Linked DNA regions of Elephas maximus indicus. The protein of the gene in region 1 interacts with the protein of each later gene in a pairwise test. Links are inferred from orthologs where the notes say so. Each region holds a gene or a part of one and is shown in the gene's direction. Other genes may lie near its edges.

The links.
Region 2: the proteins of NUPR1 (region 1) and KNSTRN interact in a two-hybrid assay, tested with the Homo sapiens proteins (2 studies listed by BioGRID and IntAct). The link is inferred for Elephas maximus indicus from reciprocal best matches to the Homo sapiens genes NUPR1 and KNSTRN.

Annotation. Positions count from the first base shown.
Region 1 is NC_064830.1:88,999,603-89,015,274, reverse strand, and holds NUPR1 (nuclear protein 1), read left to right. Parts: upstream 1-8,579; 5' UTR 8,580-8,674; coding exon 8,675-8,789; intron 8,790-9,246; coding exon 9,247-9,383; 3' UTR 9,384-9,396; intron 9,397-9,875; 3' UTR 9,876-10,170; downstream 10,171-15,672. UniProt on the Homo sapiens protein: Transcription regulator that converts stress signals into a program of gene expression that empowers cells with resistance to the stress induced by a change in their microenvironment.
Region 2 is NC_064828.1:15,631,061-15,647,957, forward strand, and holds the start of KNSTRN (small kinetochore-associated protein), read left to right. Parts: upstream 1-9,523; coding exon 9,524-9,732; intron 9,733-10,018; coding exon 10,019-10,113; intron 10,114-14,500; coding exon 14,501-14,633; intron 14,634-15,266; coding exon 15,267-15,314; intron 15,315-16,216; coding exon 16,217-16,322; intron 16,323-16,538; coding exon 16,539-16,632; intron 16,633-16,897. UniProt on the Homo sapiens protein: Essential component of the mitotic spindle required for faithful chromosome segregation and progression into anaphase.

The DNA of each region.
Region 1 (15,672 bases):
TCCATCAAGCTTTCTTCCTGTAGTCCCTATCTCAATAAATGGCATCTAACCAGTCTCAGTTCTATATACTACATTTTATGAAGGTTGTACTAGCAGTGACTTTGCAAATTTTGTGTTTGTAAAGGTCTCAGGGGCTTTCTCTCCTAAAGATTAAATATTGACCCCCCCCCAGTTACTCATCAGGAGAAATTCGGGGCTCACAATTATACATTTTTTAATGTAACGTTAATTTCTAGCCCCCGGACTTGGCTAGTAACTGAAAGGATGACGGTTTGAATACACACAGCCGCATTGCGGAAGAAAGACCTGATCTCCTTCCGAAAAATCACAGCCTTTGAAAACTACTGAGCACAGTTCTGCTCTGAAACGCATGGGGTTGCTGTGAGTCAGAATTCACTTGATGGCAACTGATGTATCTTTAATCTCTAATTTTTCTATAATGAACATGTATTACTTGGATAATTAAAAAAAAAAACAGTGTTTTAGAGTGTTGCACACAGAAGGGATAGCTCTGTTCCGCCCCCCCCACCCCCGCCCCCCGCCCCGCTCCATCCAGATTTCTCAAAAGAATTATTTATCGTCGGTTTTCATTTCCTCACCTCCTACTGGGCACAATGACAGGAGCCAGCACCTGGGAGTGATCCTTGGCATCACCCTTTTCCTCCCCTCCCACATCTAATCTGTCACTAAGGGTCTGCAATTTAAAAATATCTGCTTACATTTGTTGAGCACTTACTATGTATCAGGCACTATTGAAAACGCTTTACAGGTATTCATTCCTGTAACACAATTCACCCACTTTTCACCTCTGCCACATTCACCCAATTTCATGCTGCCTCTGCCCTTGCCTGCATAACTGCAAAAGATTTTTATTTTTTAATCCAGGTACAGAGGTCGAGACACTCATATTTCTCACTTCATGGTGCACTGTCGTCATTGGGCTCTGCACGGCCCTCTCATTTTATGTTTTAATAACCTTCTATCCCTTCTCCACTCTTCCCTCCTCCCCCAATAGTGTACATGTGTATCCTTGTGAAACATGGGCATGGTTGAGTGTGCATGTATTTTTTTTTTTAATTGTACTTTAGATGAAGGTTTACAGAACAAACTAGCTTCTCATTAAACACGACACATACTGTTTTATGACATTGGTAAACAACCTCAGGATGTGTCAACAGTCTCCCTTCTTGACCTTGGGTTCCCTATTACCAACTTTCCTGTCCCCTCCTGCCTTCTAGTCCCTGCCCCTGAGCTAGTGTGCCCCTTTAGTCTCATTTTGTTCTATGGGGCTGTCCAATCTTTGGCTGAAGGGTGAACCTCAGGAATGACTTCCTTACTGAGCTGAAAGGGTGTCTAGGGGCCGTATTCTCAGGGTTCCTCCAGTCTCTGTCAGGCCAGCAAGTCTGCCCTTTCTTTTTGAGTTAAAATTTTGTTCTACATTTTTCTCCAGCTCTGTCCAGGACCATCTATTGTGATCCCTGTAAGAGCAGTCAGTGGTGGTGGCTGGGCACCATCTAGTTGTACTGGACTCAGACTGGTGGAGGCCGTGACAGATGTGGTCCATCAGTCCTTTAGACTAATCTTTCCCTTGTATTTTTAGTTTTCTTCATTCTTCCTTTCTTCCTTTAGTGTGCATGTATTTTTAATTTACCTAAATGGCATTGTGCTATAAACCTCATTCTAGTTCTTACTTTTTCCACTCAGCACAGTACTTTTAAGACCTGTTCTTGTTGTAGGTACACCTAACCTGTTACTTAGAACGACTGTGCAATATTCATAGTGGGCACCCATATTTTACTTATTCAGACCCGTGGCGATGGACCTCTGAATTGCACATCTAGCTCAATTGGCATAACATAGTTTATAAAGAAAATGTTCTACATCCTACTCTGGTGAGTAGTGTCTGAGGTCTTAAAATTTCTGGATGGCCATGTAAGATACATCTACTGGTCCCACCCTGTCTGGATCAAGCAAAAATGAAGAAAACCAAAGACAATGGAAAGATTAGTCCAAAGGACAAATGGGCCACAGCTACCACAGCCTCCACCAGACTGAGTCCAGCACAAGTAGATGGTGCCTGGCTACCACCGCCAACTACTCTGACAGAAATCACAATACAGTTTCTGGGACAGAGCAGGGGAAGAATGTAGAACAAAATTCACACTCACAAAAAAAGACCAGACTTACTGGTCTGACAGAGACTGGAGAAACCCCAAGATACCTTTTTAACTCAGTACTGAAGTCACTCGTGAAGTTCACTGTCATGGATTGAATTGTGTCCCCCTAAAATAAGTGTCAAGTGTCAATCTGGCTAGGCCATGATTCCCAGTACTGTGTGATTGTCCACAATTTTGGCATCTGATGTGATTTTTCTGTGTTGTAACTCCTACCTCTATGATGTTAATGGGGCAGGATTAGAGGCAGTTATGTTGATGAGGCAGGACTCAATCTACAAGATTAGGTTGTGTCTTAAATCAATCTCTTTTGAGATATAAAAGACAGAAGCAATCAGAGAGACAGGGAGACCTCATATCACCAAGAAAGTAGTACCAGGAGCAGAGTGCGTCCTTTGGACTGGGTCTCTGCATTAAGAAGCTACTAGACCAGGGGGAGATTGATGACAAGGATCTTCCTCTAGAGCGGAGTTGGAGCTGGTGCCCTGAAGCTGGTGCCCTGGAGCTGGTGCCCTGAATTCGGACTTCTAGTCTACTATTTTGTAAGAGAGTAAACTTCTGTTTGTTATAGCAGCCCTAGATAACTAAGACAATCACCCTTCAGCCAAAGATTAGACAGGCCTATAAAGCAAAGCAAACGATAACACACGCAGTTCAACCACGTATACAAAACTAAATGGGCACGCCAGCCCAAAAGCAAAGACAAGAAGGCAGGAAGGGACAGGAAACCTGAACGACTGGAAATGGGGAACCTGAGGTCAAGAGAGTGAGAGTGTTGACACATTGTGGGTTTGGCAACCAATGTCACAAAACAATATGTGTAATAATTGTTTAATGAGAAACTAATTTGCTCTGTAAACATTCGCCTAAAGCACAATTAAAAAAAAAGATTCCTTCCCCAATTAATACTGATAATAATAACTAACGTTTGTTGAACAGTTACAATGTTCTAGGCACAGTGTTAAGCCTTTATAAGAATTGGTCTTTTAATCCCCACAATACTCCCACAATGTAGGTACCATTATTAATCCCATTTTTAACAAAGGAAACTGAGAGACACAGAGAGGCTAAATAACTTATCGAAGCCTATGCAACTAACAAGTGGCAGAACCAAGCTTTGGACTCAGGCAGTAGGGCTCCAGATCCTACTGCCTTCACCGTAACTAAACCAGACCCAATCATTGCATTCTAGTGGACAAATAATAGAGAAGTAAACAAATAAAAACATACATTCGATTAGCAATGACTGAATGCTATGAAGAAAGTAAAATAAAATCAGGGTAGTGGGATAAAGAATAACTGTTGGGGGAGAGGGATACAAATAAAAACTGCAATGAGATATCACCTCACCCCTATTCGAATGGCAATGATTGAAAAAAAAGAGAAAACAAGTGTTGGCGAGGTTGTAGAAACTGGAACACTCATCCATTGTCGGTGGAAGTGTAGAATGGTGCCTCCACTGTGGAAAATGGTTCAAAAGTTGAACATAGAACTACCATATGACCCAGCAATCGCAGTCCTAGGTATGTACCCAGATGAATAAAGACAGGAGCGCAAACAGAAACCTGTACACCAATGTTCATTGCAACACTTTTAACAATAGCAAACTGGTGGAAACAGCTGAAAGAAATGCCCATTAACAGATGAATGGATAAACAAATGTCGTATATACATACAATGGAATATTATACAGCCATAAAGAGAAATGAAGCCTTGGTGCATGCCACAACACGGAGGAACCTTGAAAACACTGTGCTGAGCAAAGTAAGTCACAAAAGGATGATCTCGCTTATATGAAATATAAGCAAACACATAGAAACCTAAGATTGTTAATAGTTAGCAGGTGTGGAAGGAAGGTGGAAAAGGGGAGTTTTTGTTGGGGGAGAGCACTGAGTTTAAGTTAATGGTGGTGGAATATTTTGGATGAGGATAGCGATAATGGCGGCACGACGTGAAAAATGTAATAAGTGTCATTGAGTTGTAAATGTGGAAGTCGTGTTGGCGGATGTCTTGGTGTGTATGTTTTCACCCAATTAAAAAAAAGAGAGAGAAAAAAAAGAATAACTGGGGGATATGTGTGGTGTTTTTCTTTTCTCTTTTTTTTCCTCTCTTCTCTTTTTTTGTATTGTACTTTAGGTGAAAGTTTACAGCTCAAGTTAATTTCTCATTCAAAAATTTATACACATATTATTTTGTGACAGTTGTAATACCTACAATGTGACAGCATGTGTCCCCTTTCCACCACAGGTTCCCTGTGTCTATTTGACAAGTTCCTGTTCCTTCCTACCTTCTTACCCTGCTTTTGGTCAGGAGCTGCCCATTTGGTCTTGTATATCTGATTGAACTAAGAAGCACATTCCTCACGTGTGTTATTTTTTGTTTTACAGTCCTGTCTAATCTTTGTCTGAAGAGTAGGCTTCGGGAATGGTTTCAGTTTTGGGTTAATAGTGCCTCTGGAGGCCTTAGTTTCGAGGGTTCCTCCAGCCTCTGTCAGACCATTAAGTGTGGTCCTTTTATGCGATTTTGAGTTCTGTTCTACATTTTTCTCCTGCTCTGTGCGGGACTCTCTGTTGTGCTCCCTGTCAGGGCAGTCCTTGGTGGTAGCTGGGCACCATCCAGTTCTTCTGGTCTCAGGTTGCTGGAATCTCTGGTTCATTTGGTCCTTTAGTCATTTGGGCTAGTATTTTCCTTGTGCCTTTGGTTTTCTTCATTCTCCTTTGCTCCGAGTAGGATGGAACCCACTGAAGTATCTTAGATGGCCTCTCGAAAGCTTTTAAAATCCTAGGTGCCATTCACTAAGACGGGATGTAGAACATTTTCTTAATAAACTGTTATGCCAGTTGACTTAGATGTCCCCTGAAACTATGATCCCCAGGCCCCAGCCCCAGCTACTCTGTCCCTCAGAGTGTTTGGATAGGTCCAGGAAACTTCTTTGTTTTTGCTTTGGTCCAGTTGTGCTGACTTCCTCTGTATTTTGTGTTATCCTTCCCTTCACCAATGTTGATCCTTGTCTACTAACTAGTTAGTGATTTCCTCTCCTCCTCCCTCCCCATGTGTGGGATTTTAGAGAGGGGTGTGCATTAATGTGCTAAGGACCCCTTCTCCCCCATCACACACCTTCCAGAGGTTGCAGGCCTGTGTAGTTTTCTGTAACCCCTGACAGGTGCCTCCACACAGAGCAGCCAAACCTGTGCCACTGTTTGACCAGCTGTGCTGACTTAGAAGGAGCACTGGAATTGGGGTCAGGTGGACCATGGGGAGGAATCCTTCACCACTCACTAGCTATGTGGCATTGAGCAAGTCATTCTCTGAGCCTCATTTTCCTTCTTTGAGGGAATGGGGGAAGTAATAGTACTCACCTTGTGCCTGGCTCTGGACTAAGCCCTTTCACGCATTGGGCACTATTATTACACTCCCTTTACAGATGAGGAAACTGAGACTCAGAAGGGAGCCCAATATCTCCCAGCTAGGAACTAGTGAAGTCTGGCTGAAGAGGGAAATGAGTGAATGACCTATTCCTCAACAGGGCCAGGATGTCCCTTTAGGGGACATCTTGGGAATATGTGGGATTCGTGGGGGTGTTTTTGAAAAGGAAAGGGCAGAACAGTCCCACAAGTAAAGTGTTGTCTCACGTCCTACATGATATTTGACTGTCCTGCTAGACATTCATGAAGGTAAAAAAACGTATTTATAATTATCTGAACCTAATCTCATTCTGGAAACCCTGGTGGCGTCGTGGTTAAGTGCTACGGCTGGTAACCAAGAGGTCAGCAGTTCGAATCCGCCAGGCGCTCCTTGGAAACTCTATGGTGCAGTTCTACTCTGTCCTATAAGGCAACTGTGAGTCAGAATCGACTGGACAGCAGTGGGTTTGGTTTTTTTTGGTTTGAACCTCATTCTAGCACCACTTCTGCCTGCCTTTCTGCCTTGCCTGAGGCAGAATTAAATTAAGCTTTTGTTTTCCAGCTTTGGGTGGTTTGTGAGTTGACACCCAGAAAATGAAAATGAAAGTGAGGACAGGGGAACACTTGAATAAACACAGGATTGTGATTATAACAGGCCAGATGATAAGAGGGAAATAACCTCAATTTAAATAAAGATAATGACTGTAGAGGTGATTAGTTCTGTTGTACATGGGGTGGCTATGAGTCAAAACCGACTCAGGCATCTAACAACGATAACAACCTCATTCCAAGTCTGATTAGAGGAAATTGTTTTTCTACTGCCTTCAGTAATAAAGCCCACCCCTTTGGAAGAACATCGTATTTCCTAATTTTTCCACCTCAAAGCTGGAAAACAAAAGCTAAATTTAATTCCGGCTCAGGCAAGGAAGGAAGTCAGGCGAAAGTGCTGCTTCTTGTTAAACAAAGGCCAAGACAGGTTATTATAGGGTTTGGGGAAAGGGTGAAGTTTGGGTAACACTGAAACAGAACAGTAGTTTAATGGTTTCAAAGCAAAGTGGGGGTGTGAGCAGAGAATTAACAACTGACCCAGGCTGAAAAGGTCCTGTTTTGTTTGGAAACTACAGAGTTTACAAAAAAAAAATAGTGAACAACTATCTATATGGGATCAAAGTGACAACAGCAACTGGCAAGATTAGGGAGGAACCTTGGGAGGCAATGAGTTTACGTTAATGCAAGAGGAACAACTCAGAAAAGGAGCCTGAGAATAGTTACGCAACTGAAGAATGTAATCGATGTCACTGAATTGTACATGGATCTCTGGTTGTGTAGCGGTTAAGGGCTAAAGGTGTTAACCAAAAGGCTGGCAGTTCAAAGTCACCAGCTGCTCCTTAGAAACCCTATCGAAGCAGTTCTACCCTGTCCTATAGGATTGCTGCGTAGAAATGGTTGAATTGGCCTGCATTTTGCTGTACATATTCTCAACAAAACAATAAACTTTTTTTTAAATTCACACTTTAAAATCAGGTTAAGAAAAAAAAAAAAAAAGACTGTTGTGATATTGTGACTGCCTAGTTCTCTCACCCTGGACAGCAAGAGCTGGGAGTCCATGTATAAGCCTTAGGAAAACACGAGTGAACAACTGAGGCCATAGCCTTTCTGGGTCAACATGACCCACACAGTTCAGATCCTTGAGAAAAGAGTGGAATGTTCCATCTTCACTTGTTTCTTATCGGAACCAAAAAAAAAAAAAAAAAACCCACTGCCACCGAGTTGATTCCAACTCATAGCGACCCTATAGGACAGAGTAGAACTTCCCCATAGAGTTTCCAAGGAGTGGCTGGTGGATTCGAACTTCTGACCTTCTGGTTAGCAGCCGAACACTTAACCACTGCACCACAGGGCTCCTTATTGGAACACATTCCTTAAATTCATACTAATTCATAATATGCACAAATATCTGTTTACTTCATTATGTCTTCTACCTCAGTAGATCCATGTTACGAAACACATTGTATTATAAATTAATTTCCTTCTGTGTCTCCTTTATATTTCAGTTAGGGCACTGAGTTGTTTTGAAATGATATGACTAACCCTTACATAGTGTTTACACTGTTCCAGGTACTGTTGTGAGTTCATTTGCATGTATTATCTCATTTGGTCTTCACACCAACTCTATGTGGTAAAAAACCAAACCAAACCCATTGCTGTCAAGTTGATTCCTACTGTAGGTACGATTATTATTATCCTCATTTTACAGAGGAGGAAACTGAGACACAGAGAGGCTCGTACAGGAAGTAGTGGATCAGGGGTTTGAACCCAGAGCGTATGGCTCACAAATCTACTCTCTAACTACTCTGCTAGCTCCCTCTCATGGGAGGGAGATTACCTAGGGACCCCATTTCAGAATATTAAGGAGATTTTCCAAGATAGTTCTTTAAAAAAGGGGTGTTGGGTGTGATAGGGGTGAGAACCACTGACCTAGCCCACAGTAGGTAGAGAGTAAATGGTAGTGGAGTTGAACTAAGAAGGACACATGTTGATATTCCCTTCCCCTTCCTTCTTCACTCTATATTCTGCCATCACAGTCCTGAATCTGAACCAGAATTGGGGGAGAAGATGATCTGTGTGGCCATAACCCCAGGCTCAGGAAGGGTACAGGATCAGAGGGGGGATGGACAGGAAGGAATCAGCCCAGGTGAGGATGTCAGGTCCCCACTGGCCAAGATCCCAATAACTGTTTATATCTAGGCTCTCCCTCTTTTCTCCTCTTCCCCGAAGGGCGGGGTCACCTCTGTGGAAAAATCCCCAGCTGGGTGACCCCGGAGAGAGGGAGAGGGTGAGGGAGGCTGGGATTCACAGGATCCAACTCTTTTCCCCTCTCGTGACTTGTGTTTACTAGGCCGGGTTCTGGGAAAGGGCCAGATTGCATCAGCCAGAGCCTAAGGGACTGGAGCCAGACTGTGGGCTGAGGAGGAGACGTGGCCTTATAAATTGGGGCAAGTGAACTGGACGGGGAGAGGTGCCCAGTCAGGAAACCAGACACAAACAAAGCTTTACAAGAAGACAAAGAAGAGAGGCAGTGAGAGAAAGCCAGACATGATGGCCGCATTTCCAGGAGCAGCCAGCCCCTCCCAGCAACCCCTGGGCCCAGAGGACGAGGACTCTAGCCTGGATGAGTATGACCTGTACAGCCTGACCCACTCCTACCTGGGTAAGGCCCCAGGGCTCTGCCACCTTCCTGGTCCTTCCACTTTTAATCCCTGGCCTCCACAAATGCTGACAACCCCGTCCCCTACCCCGAATCAGGACCCCTCCTTGGACTTCTCCTCACCACTCGCCCTTTTCCAGACAACCTATTCTCATGGCCCCTCAGGTCAGCCTGTGACCCCTAAGTCTCCCTTTTTGATCTCCCATCCACTGAACCCTGTCTTAATCAGCCTGGGACCGCACACACTTACAGATCGTCTGGGGTCTCTAATTTCACAGATGAGGAAACAAGTTGACAGGGATTGTGACTGCCCCAGAGTTACAGGGTGACAACCTCCCAGTCTCCCTACTCCAGCCCAAGCTCTTACCTACCCTGCCACAGTCTGCCTACTTGCCTCTCCTGTGAACTCTTTTATCACACCTCAGCCCACCTCCCCTCTGACACCAGCCTTGGCTTCCAGGAGGACGTGGCCGGAAAGGTCGCACCAAGAGAGAAGCTGCTGCCAACACCAACCGCCCCAGTCCTGGTGGGCACGAGAGAAAACTGGTGACCAAGTTCCAGAATGCAGAGCAGAAAAAGAGAGGGGCACGTCCCTGAGACAGAATTGGAGGTAAGGAGTCAGGGGGCCCCCCTGAGCACCAAAGGAGGTCCCTCTGCCTCAAAAGAACAGGCTTACATGTGTGTGGTTTGGAGAAGCAGGAAAAGGGGTCTGCAGAACTCCTGTTGTCTCTACACAGAATAAAATATCCTAATGACCAGAGCGGAAACCCTGGTGGTACAGTGGTTAAGTGCTACGGCTGCTAACCAAAGGGTCGGCAGTTCGAATCCTCCAGGCAGTCCTTGGAAACTCTGTGGGGCAGTTCTACTTTGTCCAGTAGGGTCGCTGTTAGTCGGAATCGACTCGACGGCACTGGGTTTGGTTTGGTTTGGTAATAGCCAGAGCAAAAAGGGAAACAGTATTTCCAGTTAGAGGGAAATTTGGTTTACAGAAAGGGAAACAGGCCCAGAGAGGTTAGGGTGCATATACAGAGCAAGTGAGCAGGAGCGGCAGAATTCAAGCCAGGTCTCTGTGCCTTTCCCTCCCCGCAGATGAGGCCAGAGCACAGACACCACACCACGGCAATGGAGACAGGACCACGGCGGCGGAACTGCAGAGGAACTAGGACCTGGAGCAGGGTCCAGGCCTCCTTGACCCCAGGACTTACCCCACCTGACTGAGGCCCCAAGAGCCACCAAGGAAGCATCCCGGGCCCCTAACAAAAGGGCCAGATGGAGAGCATGAGACAAAGAATGGAGGGGCAGAGTTAGGGAGGTACACCCCCCCCAAAAAAAGATGCTGAAGAAACTGGGTGACAGCAACAATAAAGAGATAAAATACAGCAGCTGCAGCTTGTGTATGTGTTTGTATCCCCTCTCTCTTTGTGGGGGTGTTTTTTGGGGCACCTTTCTGTCTGCATGTGTCTGCATTTGCATGAACCGATGAGAACGTTTTGTGTGCACGTATTTGGGGGTGTTCTTGGTTTTGTAGAGCTCGACTGCCATGAGCGTGTGTTTATTATGCATGTGTTGTGATGTATACGTTTCTGTGGTCTCTTGTTGGGTGCGTGGGAATTTCCTCTTTCTTTGCAGTACTGTCCATGAAACAACCCTCCTCCCCAGCCTCTACCCAAGATCAAAATCTTGATGATTATGTTGTGGTTGCATAAAACCACCTTTTGAAGGGAACGGTGTTTACTGGTGCTAGCCACACAGTGGAGAAAACTAAGATTACAAACATGAAGGGACTGGCTTACTCAGGGCTCAAATTCAAGGATTCTTACTGTCCTCAAGCACAAGGAGGGTCCCCTTCCCAAGGGGGCTGCCAGGACAGGGTTCTAGGAGGTCAGCTGGGCAAGGAAGGTTTTCACTCAGTGGTATCAGTGTCAGTACCAGCATTTGAGCAAAAATGTGGGACAAATAAGAGACGTGGTTGGAGCTAAGAGGATATATTAGTTAAGATACAGGTTCAGGCTGCTGTAATGAACAGTCACACAAAACAGGATAGAAACTTATTTCTCCCTTGTAACATCTTCAAGGGTAAGTACTCCTGGGCTAAAATGGCAATCCCACTGTGTCAGGGATTCCAGATGCTTTTAGCTCGTGCTGCCATTCTCAAAAGATGGCTTCCGTCTCGAGGTACAAGATAGCTGCTCTGAGACCCGCCATCACATCTGCATCTCATCTTGTGGAAAGCAAAGGGGGAAAGGACCAGGGTAGTCCGCACGTATTCATTTTTAAAGGTATAACCTAAAAGGACCACAAACCACATCTGCTCAGAATTTAGTCACATAGACATGCCTGACCACAAGAGACACTGGAAAATGAAGTATATATTTAGCTGCTAACCAAAATTTCAGGAAGGGCAGGATTTTACTAGTAAAGGAAACAGGAAAGAATGGATACTGGAAAATGCTAGCAAGAAACATTGCCCATAGGCTGATTCAACAGAAGTGGGGGGACAAAATCCCTAGGCCTGGCCCTGGGCAGAGCCTTTTTCCTCTTCTTCTGTAAACTTCCACATAAGCCCAAGTCTGTAGAACTTGGAGCCTGTTGTTCTTAGGGACCCAAGAGTGTTGACAGAGAAATGAGACACCCGTTGGAGCAGTAACACACGCATAGTAGACAAAGACCAGCTTGGACCTTCCGGGCCTTCTATCCATCCACCTCCTCTGAGTCCAGCCTAATAACAGATTCCCAGAATCCATGAGTGGAAAGGACATTAAAATGTATCTAGTCCAACCCCACCCCACCCCATGATTGCCTCTGCTGCTTGAATATCGCTAAGCCCAGTGCCGTCTAGTCGATTCTGACTCATAGCACCCTATAGGACGGAGCAGAACTGCCCCGTAGAGTTTCCAAGGAGTGCCTGGCAGATTCAAACTGCTGACCTTTTGGTTAGCAGCTGTAGCACTTAACCACTACGCCACCAGGGCTTCCTGAATATCACTAGGGATGGAAGATTTACTGTCCTTGAAGGTTGTCAATTTCTACCTCAGGACAACTCCTTGATGTGAGCTGAAACCTGACTTGCTGTCCCTCCTCTTTGCCCTTGAACATGCTTCCGTTTCTCTGGTCCTTTCTGTCTGAGATGCCCTTAATTCCACCCACCCTGCAAGGCTCAGCTCAAGTGCTGCTTTCTCTTCAAAGTCTTCCCTGACTTGCCCTCCATCACCAGTCTCCTCACCTCCACCCCAGGCAGATCCCTCCTTGGGATCGCAAGGTAAGTCTATGCCAGGATCTCATGAAGCTCCTTCAGTTTTTCTCTCAAATGCCTCTTTCCATGATTATTTGTTTATTCATTCAACAAATGTTTATTGGACTACCTTATCAGGGCCTGGCTCAAGGCATAAACTGCAAGGCGGGTATGATTCGGATCAGGCTTTAGGGCCACTGTCAGCTCTTGAGCACAGGAGGCAAATGGCAGGAGCACCACTGGGCAGCGAGCTCTTAGCTCAGCACAGATTTGGTGGGTCAAGTTTGGAAAATCATAGTAAGAGCTCTTGTATAGGGTTGTTACTCTGTGTTTTATGGGCATTGCTCCAGTTAATCCTTATGACAACCCAACAGGGTATACTATTATTGCTTTCATTTTGCAGACCAGAAAACTGATATTCAGAGAAGTTAAGTAACTTGCTCAAGGTCACACAGCCAGAACCTGTAGGAGCTGGGTTTATAAACTCAGGTCTGTCTGATTTTTAAAGCCTGCTTCCTTTTTACTATAAGCCTGGGAAAATCCACGTACTGACAGTGGGGAATTCTAGGTTCTAGCGAATTTCTGGTCAATTACTCCTTCTGAGTCTCAGTTTTCCCGCTTGTCAAATGGAACGACTAGCCTCTCCTCCTTTTCAACTTCAAAGAAGAAAACAAGGGCTGGGAAATGCTATGTCCCTAGCTGATGTGGCCACTCCTGGTGTAGTGGGTCCTCTGACATTGTCAGGAGGCCCTACACCACCCCTCACTCCTGGTCTCTGGTTGGTCTTCCCTGGCTTCACCCTTCAATGGCACAGCCACTGGCTGAGAAGACTTAAGTGGCTGTTTCAGGAGGCTTAAGGCAATTTTTGGTATTACAGGCATTTGAATCTGGAAGGATCCCGGGGGTCAGAGGCTAGCTCCCCCACTCTGCAGAAGGAGAAATCAAGGCCTAGGGGAGGTTCAGGGGTTGGGCTGGGTTAAAGTGACACAGAGGACTAGGGTCCCAGACAGGCACCTGGCTCTGCTCTCCAGAACCTCACTTTTGTGCCTTCACTCACACTTTTCCTACACTCTTTCTTTTTTTCTCTTCTGGTTGGATGTCGTGTCTATTGCCCCAATTTCCTGGTTTTTTTCCTGAGGGCTGGGAGGACCAATAACCCCCCTTTCTCCCCAGAGGCTTACAGGTTTCCACGATTCAAAGGATTGACAGCACCTTGCAGAGAATTGAGACATTCATTATGGATTGTTTGTTTTGCAAAAGTCCTGGGCCTCCTCCACCCACCCTTTTCTCAAAGCCCACCTTAAAGGCACTCCTCAAAGGCAATACCAATAACAGCAATAGTCACAGCTACCATTATTGACTATATATGCCTCTGGGTTTCTCCTTTCGTGATTTCTGCCATATGTGCCTTCAAGCTATACCATTTGCTGTGCGACGGATTACCTTTGTGTGGCCTTTCTCGCCATTGTCTTGTAACTCCCATCCAAGTGTTTGGGTTGGACTGTGCAAATAAGATTAATTGTGGCCCACAAAAGGGAGTGGTAGGTTTTGCCATCCTGCTGGGCTTATAATAGAGCCAATTCCAAAGCAAAAAGGGGATCTCACCGCCACCAAGGAAGAAGGGCCAAGAGTGTGTCTTTTGGACCCAGGATCCCTGCACTAAGAAGCTCCTGGAACCAGGAGACTGAGGGAGAGAGAGAGCCGTAACACTGAAGATGGCGAGAAGCGGTAGCAGAGAAACGGCAGCAGGAGAGACTGGCAGAAGGCAGCGTGGTAGGCTTCCCAGCCCAAGAAGAGAGAAAGGTGAGTGCGTTTGGGCAGAAGGCTTCCTGGTAGAGTAGGGTGCCTACTGGCACTTGGAGCTAGGTTTGCCAACCCCTGGGACTAGAGCTGAGTGCCTTCAGGCCAAGGTTACTCGTGGAGTAGGGTGCCTCTGGGCCCTTATCAGCAAAGTTAAAAGAGCTTGTAACACCTTCCCCAGCAAGGCAGAGGTGGCGGGCCTGCGAGCATAGCTGAGAAGAGGCAGTCCTGATGGAAGACCTGTATCCGAGCGTTCCTCAACCTGAACTGTAACCTATGATTTAGGAAAAAATATTGGAATGATTATTCCCTGTCCTTGAGCATAGAGAATGTGACCCGGCTGGAGTTGGGCTCACAAGGACTCACAACGACACAATAACTGGGCCCTGAGGTATACAGACAATAGATGGAATAATCTTGGAAAATATCTTTTAGGGGAACTTTCACATAAGCCAGAACACGGAAGACTTTCCACTCTTATCTTTTTCTATTAACGTTTAGTGAATAGAAATTTGTTGGACCAATGAAGACCCTCCTGACTGTCGTTACTGAAACCTGTACCAGTGATTGTTAAGAAAGACAATTCAAAATGTAGGATCACAGTTTCTAGCCAATTTGTGAAAAGGTGGAGCTTTCAATGGCTTTGCCCATTTGTAATGTTGATATATACTGATGACTCTAACCTTCCTTGGACTCAGGCAGACTTGACTGTGGTAGCATGCTTGTCCGTTTTCGCACTTTTACCTATTCTGTAATTTCCTTGGACTCGGGCAGACATGGCTGTGGTAGCATGCTTGTCCGTTTCCCATTCTTGCTTATTCTGTAATATTCTGTGGGTTTAGACAGACATGTCTGTGGCAGCATGCTTGTCTGTTTTCCCATTCTTGTTCACTGTGTAATTAATATTCTCTGGACTCAGGCAGACATGGCTGTGGCAGCATGGTTGTCCTTTTTCCCATTCTTGCTTATCCTGTAATATTTCCTTGGATTCGGGCAGACATTAGCTCTGACATCATGCTTGTCTGCTTATATGTGCCGAATAAAACTTCCTTTTTGTTTTACTAAACTTTGTGATTTTTTTCCCCTACTGCACCTGTTACTTCTCTAATAAACCCCATAGTTGTGAGAATTGTCTATGAGTTCTGTGTGGCCATTGCAATGAATTATTGAACCCGGCAGAGAAGTACAGACTGCCATGGGAAGGGACCCTTGGTGTCAGAAATTGTAAAGATGGAGAGATGAGGCATGCCCGACTTCTGCCTCATAGGATTCAGCCTTGGGCTGTTGATCTTGATTCTTCTACCCCCTTGGGAAGAGACAGGAGGTCAGATGCCAACCTCATGACATTTTTACACCATTATTTACTTAGCATTTAAAAAATCACTTCCTTACCTTTTTACTCGTATGTATTTTAAAAGGAAACTCTATAACCACCCAAAATGGAAAAACCACAATCACTTGCCATAATTAGAAGATAACTGTAAAAAGAAACAACTAATTATAACTTAAAGAAAAAAATTCACGTGGGGAAACACCGGTTATTCATGAGCCAGACACTGTACCAGGTGCTTTGCACACATGGGGGAAGGCCTTGGCTGCACACTGGGCTGATGAGAGAGTTAATAAAAATACTGATGCCTGGTTCTCACTCCAGGGACTCTGCTTTAATTGGTCTGAGGTGCAGCCTGGGCACTGAACTTTTAAAGGTTCCCCAGGTGATTCTAACGTGAAGTTTGAGGAGCACTGAAATGGTGGCTTTTGTGACAGATTACATCTACCAAAGATGGCCTCAACAAGAGTTCCCATCCCATGTGTTCTTTTTACAGTCTGATCTTGACAGCCATCTGTCAAACA
Region 2 (16,897 bases), on another chromosome or scaffold:
AAAGTTGTCCTCATTCCCCTTTTCCCTTCTGGATTGTCTGGTCCGAGTGCTCTGTTTGTTTATCTTATGGGTGAATCTTATGTGTGATGGGCGTTGTCTGGGAGGTTGAGGCTGCCAAGATCACCTCTGTAGCCTGGCTGCCTGTCGGAGAGGTTGAGGCTGCAAGATTATCTCTGTTGCCTCTGTGTCTTGTGTGGAATTTATGTGTGATGCATAGAAAGTGATTGGTGAAAAAATATATATGCAGGGTGAGTTAAAACATAGAGACTCCTGAGGATTTGTTGATTGGGCTGAAAAGAAAAGGAGAGATGCATGGGGAGATCAGATTTTCAGTCTAGACTGGGATTTGAATCACAATACAGAAAACACTCAGGGCAGGGTGTTAAGATTTTAAAAAGAGGTTCTCTCCGAGAGCTCAGAAAACTCTTGGCTGCAATGCGTGAGACAAATAAATTCCTATTAGACTAAAAGAAAAAAATGGTGGTATCAACTACCCATAAAAAAAAAAACCAAAAACTAGGTTCTTGAGAATAGTTAGTTAGACAGAATGAAAAACCAAGAAAACATACTAAGAGATTCATCCCTAGGGTGCATCCTGAAACATTAGAAATTCTTTTCTTATGAAAAAAAAAAAAAAAAGTCTTCAAAAACTGAAAGAAGTATAGGGTTAAAAATCTCTTGACTAATAGAACTGGCCTGCCAAGTTTACTCTGAGATAAAGAGAAAGAAATTGTTATCTTTTGCCTTTCAAAATGCCTAGGTGCACTTAAACATATGTAAATGAACTGGGATGACTCCCTCCAGCCCCCAGTCTCCCTAACTAAAAATTGATGGATTCATTTACAAAATTGCTAAAGAGCTTTGGTACTTCCTGGGTAAATAGCCTTTCAAAATGCCTAGGTCAATTTAAATGTGAATCAGAAAGAATCAGAAATGACCTAATCTTATCTTCTACTTACAGTTAAAAGGCAGGTAGGGCGGGGCAAGATCAGGCCTTCTCAGCCCCCAGCCCTCGTCTCCAGGTTCCTATAGCTCCAGAGAACCTCTTAAAAGATTCCTTTCAACTAGGTAAAAGCTCTTTTAAGACAAAAGATAAAAAAGTGCTGTTTTACTATAGTTTATCCTGTTGGTAAACTTAAAACTTAAGAAAGTTGTAAATATCACAACCAGAAAAGTATCTGAAATTTGAGCTATGATTGATTCTACAGATTAGAACAGTATTAGACTTTCTATTAGTTCTCTCAAGGAATAGTTTGTGCCTTAACAAAACAAAACAAAACAGAACTCTAAACAAGTTCTCTCTGTTGTAAGAGAACTTTAAGGAGCCAAAAAGAAAAATACATATGTGTGTATTTAGGTCTGCTAATTTTGCGTAGTGGTTAAATGTTATGGCTGCTAACCAAAGGGTCAGCAGTTCAAATCCACCAGGCGCTCCTTGGAAACTCTATGGGGCAGCTCTACTCTGTCCTATAGGGTCCCTATGAGTCAGAATCAACTCGACGGCACTGGGTTTGTTTTTTGGGTTTAATGAATGATTTCATTTTTGCTGGTTAAGAGGATGTACCGTAAGAGACATACAACAACAACAAAAAATTTAAGAAGTTTATTGAAAAAAATAAATTTTCTTAATAACGGTCAAAAGTTCTATCTGTTTGACTAAAGTTAATGGTTTAATTTATGAGATTTTTAAGAACTTTAATGCTAAATAGCATATAAAACAAAGAATTAGGTTTCTCGCTGTTAAAATAAAATTTTCTTTGGTTACTCAGTTAAAGAGTTAATATCTTCTTTCTGTATTCTGCTTCAAAGACGAAAAGGTTCAGTCTGTCATTACAATGAGATTTCTGAGTCAGAAACCAAACAATATGGCCTAAAAAAAAAGAAAACTAAGGTTTTTACTTTAAGATTTTTGGTTAAATAAAGTATTGGTTCTTAGTAACTTACGATAAACTCCTGACAAGTTGGGAAGCCACAAAATTTTATTTAAAAAAAGTGCTAAAAAAGTTTATTTAACATGCTATAAATTACATAGAACGTTGTTAAAATCATGAGCAGTGCCTGATTCTTTCTCTTTGTGTTAAAATTTATATGTTGGTATTTCCTCTTGTGTTTTTGCCTACTATTAGGCAACAAATGATTGCTAACTTGGTGAAAACTATATTTTTTTGAATCTAGCAACATCAAAGCCAATAGATTAAATGAAGAATTACTCTTCAGGTATTTAGAGACTTGATAATCTTAGAATGTTTTTGGGATATCCCGACTATATGGCATTATGTCACAAGGTTATTATGTGTTACATTGGAAGTTTTTAAAAATATGGTTAATGTTATTATTGAAAATATTTTTATTTAAAGTTTTTTTTTTTTTAACTGATTTTATTTGGCCTTTATGTTATGCTTGTAATTAATTTCTATTGGGTCTTTCACTATAAAGAATTATGTTTATAAATTAATCATGACCATATTAAGTTTTGTCATCTACGGATAAGTTTTTACTTTACTGATTTTCTGAAAACATTTGACCAGAATATCTCAACAAAAAAAGATGGACTATATTGGACTTAGGAAGCCCTGGTGGTGTAGTGGTATATTGGACTTATGAAAAAGACTGTGACTAGACTCAGTCAAGATTTCTAGAACCTCTATGTAGAAGCTGATGGTTTTACAGACTGCAGCCGATCCAGGATCACTTGCAACAGAAGTTAACTACGTAAGACTGAGTAAATGAAACAATACTATGGGTTTTATGTGAGAATATTTCTGATGTTTTAAGGTCTTTCTTTCTGGACATAATACTTTAAGGTCCTATTTTCTACATGTAAGAAACCATTTTCCTCTTTTCTCCTAAATTGTCTAACTTTTAATGGGCTTAGTTATTTTAAATCTTGAATTAGAAGTTCCTGTTGGTAAACTTAAGAAAGTTGTAAATATCATAACCAGAAGAGTGCCTGAAATTTGAGCTATGACTGATTCTACAGATTAGAATAGTATTAGACTTTCTATTAGTTCTCTCAAGGAATAGTTTGTGCCTTAATAAATGTTGCTGTATTTATATTAATACACAGTCATAAGTTTTACAGAATGTGGTTGCTACAGAGACACACAAAAAGCAGTTACTGATGCTGCTTAGACATAAACAAACACCTCACGAGATTTGTTTCCTCGGTTCAAAGACCTTAGGGTCATGGTTTCATTGATTATTTCAGACAATTGGTCTAGTATGTTTCTATTCTACCTCCTGATTTGCTGTTTGGTGCCTGGGGGTCTTAAAAACCAGATGATGCCCAATTATCATTTATTGAACATTTTTGGCCAAAGATGCTATAACAAGATCATGATCCAAAGGAGGGAGCTGTGAGAGAGTGTATATAATTCTCCTGAAATCCAGATTTCTGGCTTTCATAGAGGTTGGGGCAACCTACATAGGCCATCGCCTTGGGTGTCCTTCTGAACCTCAAGCCTTGAAAAAAAAAACTCATTCCTGAAGCCACTTTGAGTCAAACAATTGCCCAGATAAACTAGCCAAGACCATTTTGCTCTGGGCGTTGTGTTTTTTATTTTTATTTTTTGAAGAATTCAGTCTGTTTTGAGAAACTGACTCCCAAGATCAGTAAATAGAGTTATGTTTAGGGTAAATCAGTAATCAGTTTTATCAGTCTTCAAGACAATGCTGTATGAAATACCTGTTTAATGTTTGTAATCAAACTCTCACCTTCTTTCTCTACAAAGATCTTTAAAAAAAAAAAAAACCAGGCTCTGGGAAGAGATCGACCTCATGACTCTGACTCCATTCTGTCTTAGGTTTCACTTCTGCTTCTAAAAGAAGTGATCCATGACTGTTAATAGGTAAACCAGAGAAGGACAGCTTGCCATTGAGAAGAACACTTTGTATGTTTTAAACTAATTAACTAAAAACCTCCAACAGAAGTCCCTCCTGTATTATCTTGCTAATCATGTGCTCTTAATAGAAACTTGTCTGTCACAAGTAAATTTTCCATACCTTCTGTTTTCTCTAGACAAACTTAACTTAGTGTGCCTTATAAATATGTTTTTGTGTGGTGGATCCAACTATACTAATTTAAATAATTCCTTTCTAACTAATAGTGAATTTACATGGATAATCTCGTTTAGATTCCTGGCGAATGCATGGGCAATACACTTTGAGAACTTTTAAAATTATCTTTAGGTATTCATGGTAAATACTGGAAAGGTAATGTTAATTTGTTATTCTTTGTAAAACAAGAGTCAGAAGAAAGTCTATTGGTTCAACACTCAGGGTATGGTTGGTAACATTAATTCCTACTTATGGTATATTCGAATTAGAGAAATCTTTAAGAAATTTATCAATCACTATGGGACAAATGACAAAGTTGCTAGTGGGATAGAAACACAACAGTGATCTCTGACCTCATTAAGCCAAGGTGACATGAAATAACAAAATAAGCTTAGATTTTATTTATTGGTCCAAAAAAGTGTGATATGTGCTGTAGCAAATACCTCTTGTTACATTTAGATAAATAACACAAGAGAAGGACAGAATATACAAGTAGAATTGGACAGCAAGTTACTTGGTTACACACGGTAACACCCTTACAAACACCAGATTTATTTACACTACTACAAGTAATATTCTTAGTCTACATCCTCATAGTATTAGGCATAATAAAACTTAACTTCTATTGTCTTACACACCTAAAGACAAAAGAAGGCTTTGGGCTAAAATGTTGATGTACATTGAGTTTGCTCACTTTAACAGTATGATTGATGAGAACATCGCTCTTAAGATCCTGGTGAAGAACCAGATGGTTATCTGGTGGAAAACAGCACCGTGACTTTAAAGAACCTGCCATGGTCGCCATCTAGGAACTTGACTAAGTCCAGGTATTGATCATCAAATGTGGTATCTCCAATCTCCAATCAAAAAGAGGGAATGATTTAAGAAATAATATTAGAGTCATTACTCCTTGTCCTTGAGCATAGAGAATGTGACCCAGCTGGAGCTGGGTTTACAAGGACTCACAGGGACACATCAACTGGGCCCTGAGGTATAAAGACAATAAATAGGATAATCTCAGAAAATGTCTTTTAAAGAACCTTTCACATAAGCCAGAACACAAAAGACTTTCCACTCTTACCTTTTTCTATTAACATCTAATGAATAGAAATTTGTTAGACCAATGAAGACCCTCCTGACTCTCTTTACTGAAACCTGTATCAATGATCGTTAAGAATGATGATTCAAGATACGAGATTACAGTTTCCAGTTTGTGAAAAAGTAAAGCTTTCAATGGTTTTGCTCATTTTATACCCTGTATTCTTAAGACTTGAAAAGACACGACTCCAACAACACCCTTGTCTGCTTCCCACTTTTGCCTTTTTTAAAAAATATATGAACCAGTGTAAAGACTTAAGTGGCTATTCAAGAGACAAAACAAAGACCAGTAAATAAGTATCATAAAAATAAGGAATATAGAAGTATTAAGAATTGTTTCGCTCTAGCCCTTTTACTAATTTCTATTTTAACCTTTGCTTGTGTTGTTCCTGTCTCCAGACAAGCTTATGTGTCTCGGTGTATGCCTTAATGAGTTGGTGCCTTCTCCCCGGAAGGGTAGAGTCATTTCAAGTGATTTAAAAGTTCCAGCTCCAAACGATGGTTGGTCAGAAATTTCAACCCATCACCCAAGAAGAAGAGAGGCAACAGCCTAATAAAGGGCCACTATTTTTTTTTTTATAGATACAAGGGAAACCCTGGTGGTGTAGTGGTTAATTGCTACGGCTGCTAACCAAAGGGTCGGCAGTTCGAATCTGCCAGGCGCTCCTTGGAAACTCTATGGGGCAGTTCTACTCTGTCCTATAGGGTTGCTACGAGTTGGAATCGACTCGATGGCACTAGGTTTGGTTTTGGCTTGGTTTATAGATACAAGAGAGATACAGTGATTTAACACAGACAACACAAGAGTTCCACTTCTCTAACCCTTAGGCCTCCACGCCCCCATCCAACAGGAAGCAGCTAGAGATATGGCGCCCTGTTTCCCAAGATTGAGAAACCTACAACAAAAAGGGGGAATTGAAACAGAGTGCTCAGCCATATCTTGAACAGAACCTGAGCCAATTTTTTTCCTTCTTTCTTCTTTCTCTCCTTTCCCTCCCCTAGCCCATCCCTGTCTCCAAGTAAGATCCTGATGTTAGCTCCCCAAATGGTTAAGTGTTAACCAATGTTTCCTCTAAGACTGTGGAAAACAAGTGATATTGATATAAGCCTGTCTAATAAGATGAAGGATGGCGCCAGCTACCCCCTGAGCTGATGGGATGATGGCAGGAAAACAGCAACATGTTTGAGAAAGGACCACCAAAACCAAACAGAAGAAAGAGAGTGCACATTCCACAAGTCCCTAAAACTTATAGCCCCTTTTCCCTTAAAAACCCGGAACCCATCGGTAGTCTGGTGAGACAGAGGACTTTAGGAGGAGATCATTCCCCTCTGTCTCCATACACCGGTACATCTAATAAAGTTCTTGCTACCCACCTCACCCCTGTCTCAAGAATTGGCTATTTGGGGCAGGCGGCTCTAACTCGCGAAATTGCGATAACACTTGTCACCCACCAAGAGGATTGGATAGCTTGCTAATAATGGAAATAAGGGGCATGGCACCCTTGTGGGGATGGGACCATGAATATAGGGTGTATGGAACCCTAATGAGGACATTGGTCAGTTTTGCCATACTGCTAGGCTTAAAATGAGCCATCCCAGTGGAGGGAAGGGAGGATCTCACCACCACCAAGAAAGAAAAGCCAGGAGTGGAGAATGTCATTTGAACCCAGGATCCCTATGCTAAGAAGCTCCTGGAACCAGGAGATGAGGAGAGAGAGCTGTAACACTGAAGATGGCAAGAAGCAGCAGCACAGGAATGGCTGCAACAAAGGTAGGAGGCTGGCCAGAGATGGTGTGGTGGGTTTTCCGGCTCATGGAGTGAGAAAGCTGAGCACTTTCTGGCAGGAGGCTTGCTAATAGGGTGCCTCCAGGCACTTGGTGGAACTTGGTTTGCAGACCCAGGGAGCTATAGCTGAGCGTCTTCAGGCTGATGCTTACTGGCTGAGTGGGGTACCTCTGGGCACTTATTGGGAGAACTAAAAGAGCTTTGTAACACTTGCCTGAGCTGGACAAAGGCTGGCCTAGAGCAGAGGGGCCAAAGAGAGGTGTGTCTGTGAGCACAGATGAGAAGAAACTGAACTTGAATTATAACGTGTTACTTCCCTAATAAATCCCATAACTGTGAGTATCGTTGTGAGTTCTGTGTGGCCATTGCAACAAATTTTTGAACCCAGCAGAGAAGCAGAGAGTGATGTGGGAGGAATAGTTGATGTCAGAACTGGTAAAATGTTGGAGAGGAGGTTATGTCTGACCTCTGCCTCGTAGCAATCAGTCTTGGGCTATGGATTTTGATTCTCCTCCCTTGTGAAGTTAGAGGAAGTCAGACTCCTCTACCATACAATTTTTATAACACGGAAACATTCTTTGATGGTTACCAGCAATGGGAGTGGGAGACAGGGAAAATCACTAACTAGATAGTAGAAAGGTAGTAACTTGGGTGAAGGGAAACGCAATACACAATAAAGGGGGATGTCAGCACAACATGACCAAGGCAAAGAGGATGCTGGGAGGAACGCAAGAGTAAAAGGAAACGACAGTAAATACTATTTCATACACAATCCTGCCAAAAACAGTAATAACAAACAATAATTTATGAGTAGATATATAGGGAGTAATGTAAGCTGAACAGGTGTGGGATGGTATATGGGAGTACACCCAGGAGCATATATACGTTGGGCAGAGGATATTTCTACATATGTATTTGTACTTACTACAACTATATCCATATATATAGTAGATCGCACAGGGGGCACAGTTATGAAAACTTTTTAGCCATAACCAAACACCTTGAAGGACTGGGTCACTGGACTTGAGGACTTAGGACCATATTCTTGGGGGTTATCTCGGTTAATTGGCATAGTATAGTCCACAATGTTCTACATCCTACTGTAGTGAGTAACGTCTAGGATCTTAAAAGATACAACTATTGGTCTCTTTCTGTCCAGAGCAAAGAAGAGTGAAGAAAATAAAAGTCTCAAGGAAACAGTCCAGAAGACTAATGGACCACATGAATCACAGCCTCCACTAGGCTGAGGTCAGAAGAACTAGATGGTGCCTAGCTACTACTACCTACCACTCTCATCAGGATCACAGTAGAAGATCCTGGACAGAGTGGGAGAAACATGTAAAACAAATTTGAATTAATAAAAAAGACCAGACTTACTGGTATGATTGAGACTGGTGAAACCCCAAGACTATGGCCCTTAGACACCCTTTGAAACCTGGAGCAGAATCTACTCCCAGATATCACCTTTCAGCCAAACAGTAGGCATATAAAGTGAATAATAACACCTGTGAGGAATATGCTGCTCCTTAGGACAATCAACCATATGAGACCAAAAGGGCAGCATTTGTCCAAAAACAAAGTTCAGGAGGCAGGAAGGGGCAGGAAAGATGGGCTAATGGAAACAGAGTACCCACGGAGGAAGGGGGTAGAGTGCTGTCACATTGAGGGGATTGCAAGTAATGTCACAAAACCAAATGTGTACTAATTGTTGAATGGGAAACTAATTTGCTTTGTAAACTTTCAATCAAACCACAATAAAATGTTTCAAAAAAAAAAAAAGGAGAAAACCCTATTGTTGCCCTGAGGGTTTGTATTTCTCTCCTGTATTCATTTTGTTAACTCCCACTAATCCTTCCTGAATCAAACATCACCTCAGAGAGGTCCTTCCTGATCGCCCAATTTAAACTAGATTCTGCTGCTATTCTCTCTCATAATACCTTGTACTTTTCCTTCATAGTTTTACCACAATTGGTAAATATGTACATATATTTATTTACCATTTCCTGCACTAGATTGTAAACTCAAGGGCAGACATAAGATTACTCTTGAACTTTGCTGTCCCTTCACCCAGTTAGGATAGTGGCTGTGCTCCATAGCACACAGCAAGTACTCAATAAACATTTGTTGAGTGAAATGAATAAGTGAATGCGTTAAGTGCTTGAGAACTCTGCCCCGTTATTAGAAGTAGCTTTGAATCTCTGCTTAAAATCTGGATAAATGCCATTAAAGTTAGGACTGCAGGTAGGTGCCTCAGGTATTTCAGTCCACAGGCTTTTCTCCAAGTCTCACCTGCCATTCTCCACCCTGTAACGTGAAGCTTTCTTCGAATCCAAATAACCTGTGCTCTACGTAATCAGACATCATGCAATAATATATCCTTAATAATCACAGACCAAATAATAAGGATTGTGACAACATGGACTCTCAACGTGGCCACGTTTGTGTCCCAAGCCCAGAACATGACGCGGGTGGCTCATTAGCTCCACTCAGGCCAGTAAAGTGCACCCCGCTGAGACCTGCGGGCTCCAACACCAGTGGCTGGGAAAGTCAGTCTCCCGCCTCTACTCGAATCTACCGTACAGCATGGCAGCTCCTGAAGCCATAGGCCAGGATAGTATTTTCCGTACAACATGGCTGCCTACGGAAGCCGAATCTCATTCCCTCCCGCCCAGCTACCGGAAGTTTCCATTTGAAACGGAGGCGGCGGACTCGGTCCCGGGTGCGGCAGTTACTTCAGAGCGTCTTTTGAACGAGATCGAGGAGGACTGCAGGCCGGAGCGGCGGGCTCCCGGGTTCGGCTCTCCTGGGACAAGGGATTGCGCTGAATGTGGGGGGCGGACGGAATGGGCTGGTTAACTCCCACTCATCCTTCTCGGCCTTTTGGCTAGGATCAAGTGTAAAGGTCATCCCGAAGAGGTCCTCTCTTTCCCGGCCTCTCCCCAGAGCCGGGGCTGGTCAGGTCGCGCCCGCCCCGAACCCTCGGCCCGCTTGGGCGCCCGGCTGCCGGCTAGGTCGGCGGGCCCTGCTGGGGCGGGCGGCCCAGCGCCTGATAGCTGACACCACCCTTGCATCCTCCAGGGTCCAGCCGTGCCGCCTCGTTACGATGACCAGCGTAGTTAAGACAGTGTACACTCTGCAGCCCCCCTCTGTGCTGAGCGGCGGCCTGCCCGCAGGTGGGTGTCCAACCTCGGTCCCCCTTGGGTCCCTGCAGAGCGACGTGTAGTGGTAGGGGGGTGTGTGTGCGGGGATGGGGGCACGGACCGGGGGAGTGCATTCCGTCGGCTCTAACAACCTACTCTTAAAACCAGGCTTTCTAGGTTTATGGTTGGGAGTTAGGGGAAGGGTCAAGTGGTGGGGCCTTAGACCTGCCCTGCTACCCTCCAAGACCTAACCCGTGCTGCTTAGATTCAAGCTGCTGGTTGGTCTACACTAAACCCTCGTGGCGTAGTGGTTAAGGGTTCGGCCGCGAGCTAAAAGATCGGCAGTTCGAGTCCACCAGGCGGTCCTTGGAAACCTTGTGGAGCAGTTCTGCTTTGTCTTATAGCGTCGCTATGAGTTGGAATCGACTCGTCAGTTGTGGTTTTTTTTTTTAATTCCCATTAAGCCAGGAATTGCCATTTCACGAGTTACCACTTTTATTTCCAGTGTAGACAGTCTCGAGGGCCTGGACTGTCCAGGTCGTTTGGGAAGTGGGATACTTGGTGGGGGGCGGCGGGGGGGACGGCAGGCACTAGGTTGTTGACACCATGTCATGTTTTTCACATTTATACCTTCCCAGTGTCTCTCATATAGTACTGGCTCAATAAATGTTTGTTAAGTGAAAGGAGAGAGGGATCAGCCTAGTCCCAGTATTTGAGAATAAAGAAGAGAGAGACATGATTAAAAACAACTAATTGCTTGGCCACTTGGCTTTGTTACCTTGCTTGTGGTTGAAAGTCGTTGCATAGGATCTGCAGTTGTCAGCTGCCTAATCTAGAGATTATAGCACAGAATAAGCTTCAGGCACTGGAAAACTATTGTGGGAGATGATGAAGCCGCCATTTCTGAGCCTTTCCCAGATGACTCCTTTCAGCTAGTTGATGAGCAGTAGTAGGGTTGATTGATCTGTGGGGTAAACAGGCTTTTCTCCAAGGGTTTAACAGCTTCTGTTGCCTCAGAACACCTGGGCGTTAATCCCCACGTCAGCAAGGGACTGAGGAATTGCTGGAAGACCCGAAGCCACCACATCTGCTGACCTAGCTCCGCTGTCTCCCTAGATTGCAGTGCCCCTTGCTCAGTGGGGAGTGACTAGCTCTCCCCAGCCAAGTTGGAGGTTTTCAGTGTCTTTGCTTCCTAACGTTGTCCTCCACTTCATGATCGTACATAACCTCAACAGTTAAAAATTTTTAGGCTGCCTCCCAGCTTTTTTCTTCCAATTTTGGGTATGGGTCAGTTGTTTGTGTTTTAGTTTTTGGAGTAGGTAATACATGCACATGTAAAAAAAAAATTGTTAGAGAACCATATGAAGTGAGAAACAAGTCTCCTTCCCTTCCTTGTGGATAACATAGGGCTAATTTCCAAAATGTGAAGCTAACTCATGGCCCTACTTTCCCACTTCATCATTTCAACACCAGCCACCCACATGCCCCTTTCTCTCTCTGACCCTAACCGCTCAAGAGTTGAGTCTCCACAAGTTAGGACTCTTCCTTCTAGCCTCTCTGCCAACTCTCACTAAACCCCCATTAACCCTCATGAGCTGGTTAATTCTCTAGAATGGCTCACAAAATTCATGGAGACTATTACCTGTACTTACAGTTACCCACTTATTATAACCAGACAGGACACCAGTGTAGTGACGCATCTGGCAAGCTCTGGGAGAGGCCCTGTACGCGGCCTCCCTTTTCTCCAGGCACATGTTGCTCCTCCCCTGTGCATGATGTTCTTACCAGTCCTGGAAGCCCCGAAAAGACAGCCCCAAGCCCAGGGTCCTCTAGCCGTTGGGATCTCGGTGGATATGTAGGATTGATTGTGTCTTGCCCCCTTCCTTCCTGAAATTAGTTTGCCAGGTATGGGGCCTGTGTATGTAGCCCCTACTTGCCTGGCTATTTTAAAAAACAAAGAGCACTTTAATTGCTCAGTCTGTTTTCAAAAACCATAGACAGAAAGCCAGATTTAGTTCTTTGCACCACACCTTCCACGACACCACCATCTAATTCCCCTCCTAGTGTCTCCCATTTTAAGGTAGTTGTGTTAAATCCTACAATGTTTCTCCTTCACTGCAGTGCGTGGGTTCTAGAAATATGGATTATTGGAACCAATTTGAGTCAACGATCATTTTATCGTTTTGATCGATTTACTATTAACTCATTTTTACATGGGGCTGATTTGTTATTGAGTATAACTTATTAATCCTTGGGAGCCCTGGCTGCTAACCAAAAGGCGAGGGCAGTTAGAATCCACCAGCTGCTCCTTGGAAACCCTGTGGGGCAGTTCTCTCTTCTATAGGGCTGCTATTAATTGGAATCGACTCAACAGTAACGAGTTTACTAATACTTGAGACAGGAGAAGGTAAAATATATTCCTCTAAAGTTACGTTTTACTTCAGACAGAGATGTCAAAAAGAGCCCTTTTAATATTTGCTTTGTGGGTGATGGTATCTAAAGTAGTGAAGTTGCCCGTTGAGTGTACCTATAAAGGAAAGACTGGTAACCCGAGAAATCCTATTCATTCCAAACTATTGCTAGCTAGAGTTTTCAAAATAAAGTCTTTACCAAATACAAAACCAATTTCCTAGTTTTTTTATGTTCCAGTTTCCAGTCCTTGGAAACTCTATGGGGCAGTTCTACTCTGTCCTGTAGGGTCACTATGAGTCAGAATCGACTCGACAGCACTGGGTTTTTATTTGTATGTTCCAGTGCTTTGTACCCCATTTCTTCAACTTGTCTGAGTTGTTGTGGCTCTTAACCGTATATCAAGCTTAAGAGAGCCATTTTATAGTGAACAGAGTGAAGTTAGTATAAGCTAGAAAAGCCCCTCTGTGTGTGTGTGTGTGTGTGTGTGTGTGTGTGTGTGTGTGTGTGTCAGGGGGAGTGCTTAACTCCAGAATAAGTTATTTGAATTTGCTGTGAAAAAGGAATTGTAGATAATTGGCACAAGGGCTGGGGGAAAATGCTCTCCTTTGGGAGAGAAGGGTGGCATGATAGGGCCATTTGTGTTATCTGGCAATGGCTTAGCAAGAAAATCAGAATAATGCCAAGTAGGAACCTCTAAACTTAATGGAAGGAGCCCTGGAAGGAGCTCAGTGGTTAAGCTCTCAGTTGCTAACCAAAAGGGAAAGGCCAGAGGTTTGAACTCACCAGCCACTCCGTGGAAGAAAAGACCTGGCAATCTGCTCTAGTAAAGATTTCAGCCTAGGAAACCCTATGGGGCAGTTCTACCCTGTCCTATAGGATCGTTATTAGTCGGAATTGACTTGATGGCACACAACAGCAACAAAACTTAGCGGGAAGTCTCTGGTTGGTACGAACAGTTAATGTGCTCAGCTGCAAACTGAAAGGTTGGAGGTTTAAGTCTTCCCGGAGGTGCCTTGGAAGAAAGACCTGGCAGGCTACATCAGAAAAATCAGCTATTGAAAACCCTATGGAACAGTTCTAGTCTGACCCACTTCTGGTTGCCGTGAGCTGGAGTTGACTTCGATGGCAACTGTTTTGGTTTTAACTTATGGAGGATAAACAGGTTAAAAAGACTGGTGGCAGAGCCGGTCAGCATGGAAGAGGGAAGGAAGACCAGAGGAGACACTTTCAGTTCAGGGATGAAGGTTTGTGAAACAGCCGCTGATACTGAAGTGTTACATGTATTCAACAGTTATTGAAAATGTATTAATATGTCAGATGCTCTACTAGGCTAGGGACACACAGATTATCTCTTTGAGTTGTTAGGGATACAGTCTGGGGAAAATAGCCACCAACCAACCAATTGCCATTGAGTCGATTCCATCTCACAGTGACCCCATGTGTGTCAGGGTAGAACTGTGCTCCATAGGGTTTTCAGTGGCTGAGTTTTTGGAAGTAGATTGCCAGGGCTTTTTTTTCAAGACAGACTTGAACCTTTAACCTTTCAGTTAGCAGCCAATCACGTTAACTGTTTGCACCACCCAGGGGCTACTAAAACAACAACAGCAGCAATGAAAAGAAAACGAAGCAGCTTGAGTGTTGAGTTAGGAGGGTGTGCAGAGTACTTGGAAGCTTAAGAAAATGGTACAGTTCCAGTGGTGCTTGACAAAGGACTCAGCTGTGTTCTGCCCTGCCGTCCTCCACTCTGCCTTTCATTTAGTTCTCTGCTTTTATCAACCTCCACATTCACATTGTACCCTCCAGCCATTCAGTCTGGTGTTTCATCAAGCTTTTGGCTACGCTCATTTAAAGAATTTTGGTTTCTATTTGCAGAAGTCTTATTCCGAACTAATCTTCAAAATTGAGATTGGCCAGCATGGTTTATGACAACTTGGAATGGACCTCCGTTACAGGGTTGCAGCAGCTGGGTCGTGCTGCTTGAGGTTTCACACTCTTGTTTCTTTTACAGACAAACAATCTCGAGCTACTTCTAAAAGTCTATTACCTGTTAAGTCCAAAGAAGTAGACATTACCAGACTTTTTCATTCAGGCAGTTCAGAGAATGATGTTACAAAAATCATCAAACCAAGACGAGAGACTGGGTAAGAGTCAGATCATTGGTATCTAATGAGAGCATCTTGCTGGAAATTGCTTAGCACCAGGAATGAGAAAACAGGGTTTTCAGGAGCACGTGCCATCTGAATGGGTGGCCTGTGGGCAGCGACCTAGAGCAGTGTAGCACTGCCGTGCAGTTCGTCAGAACCCTACGTGCTGGTCTGTTCTGAAGAGACACAGCAAGGCTTACTCATTGCTCTGAGTGTGCAAGTGGCAGTACTGTGGTCCAACACCAGCCCTAAGTGATATTTATGGGATGTGGGGACTAGGTGGCTGGCCTGAGCACAGTCCAGCCCCGTTGTAGTGTGTGTGTGTATATGTGTGTCTCCCAGCACAGCTCTCAGTTCCCCCATGAGTAAAGCTGACCTGATCTTGAGCAGGAGGTCTGTCAGGTTGGTGGTTGGGTGTGGTCAGGGGAGGGAAGCCTGTTCCTTATTAATACACCTTTTTTAGTAGTCTGTGGTAAAACAAAAGTGCATGAACCCTCAGAGCTTCTCAAGCTTGGGCTGTTTTCTCTGGTTCTTCACTCAGAAACTCAGGCTTTGTCCTGCCTTGTTGACAACACACGTAACAGTAGTACTGTGGTTTTCTGATTAAGTTTTTTGTTTTTGGTTCTCTAGACAGATGAAAGCTGCAGACCCTGCCCTTAAGAAGAACATCAGAAAGAGGTGAGCGAGCATCAGGGGAAATGGAACTAGGCCACTGTCGTAGGGTAGTGGGTCTCATTCAGGATCACGCTGCAGTCTGGGTTCCACCCCAGATATCTGGGTGGGGTTTTCAGGAGTAGAACAGCAGGTTTGAGAACCATCACTGGGGCAGGAATCAATGATGCTACTGTCTTGAGTAGCAGATGAGCTTATTGGGTCTCCTGTCAGGACCATGGCTGGTTCAGAATCTAACCCGGCTCTGCCAGTCAGCAGGAGCGGAAAGCCTTCCGGATCAGAGGAGCTTCATGTGGTTAGTGATCTACCCCATGTGTGCAGCGTACAACTACTCCATAGGGTTTTCACGGCTGTGGCCTTTAGAAGCTGATCTCAAGGCCTTCCTTCTGAGGTCCTTCTGGGTGGGTTCGAACTGCCAATATTTCAGTTAGTAGTTGAGCGCTTAACCGATTCTACCACCCAGGGATATTACTTATTAAATGTTTAGCCTGTGCCAGTAGCTGTGCTAAGAATTGTATATGCATTCTCTCATTTATTTTACATAATAATATGAGACATGGATGTAAATCCTAATTCTAGAAATGAGGAAACAGCTTCAGAGAGGATATGCAACCTATTGAAGGTCATATGGAGCCCTGCTGGCACAAGCAGTTAAGCATTTGGCTGCTAACCAAAAGGTTGGCAGTTTGAATCCACCAGCCGCTCCTTGGAAACCCAGTGGGGTGGTTCTCCCCTGTTCTGTAGGGTCTCTGCGTGTCAGAATTGACTTGATGCAGTCGGGTTTTGGGTTTTTTGGAAGGTCGTATGCCACTATGTGGTGAGACTGGGATTCGAACCGCTGTTGTGTAACTCCATACCCCGTAGTCTCAACCCCGTACCTCTTCATATACGTACAATTATTATTACAGCTACAAACCACTGAGTAAGCAGAAATCAGAGGAGGAGCTAAAGGATAAGAACCAGCTCTTAGAGGCAGTCAACAAGCAGTTGCACCTGAAGTTGACTGAAACTCAGGTAAGAGACCAGACCTCTGCCGTCAGCTGCCAAAGGGCAATGCCTGTGGAATCCTGAGGGATCATTCTCTGGGTGGGAACAAGCTTGTAATGCCTAAGTCCCCGAGGCCAGAAATAGAGGACACCAGGCTTGTGCTGTGGCTTTCCAAGAGCAAGGGTAGCAAAGATCACCCAGGGAATGGTTCAGGCCTGATCTGTCTGTGTGGCACCCCAACAGGGAGAGCTGAAGGACCTGACTCAGAAGGTAGAGCTGCTGGAGAAATTTCAGGACAATTGTTTGGCAATTTTGGAGAGCAAGGGCATCAACCCAGGTGAGAGACGGCACACAGCTGCCTTCAAAGGAATCAATGCACCACGCTACCCCTTCTTGGGCTGACTTCACTCTATTGATTATCTAGCATCTAGCATGACATCAGCTGACTCAGTGGGGCCAGGGGTTGCTAAAGATTTTGGAAGCTTCTCTTGTTCAGCTGCTTTCTCCCTCATGTGGCATTGATCTTGTTTAACAGAACGCTAGGAGGTTGTGGAGGGAGAGGCTTATCTTTTCCTTATGTGAACACGTGATGCCATTCACAT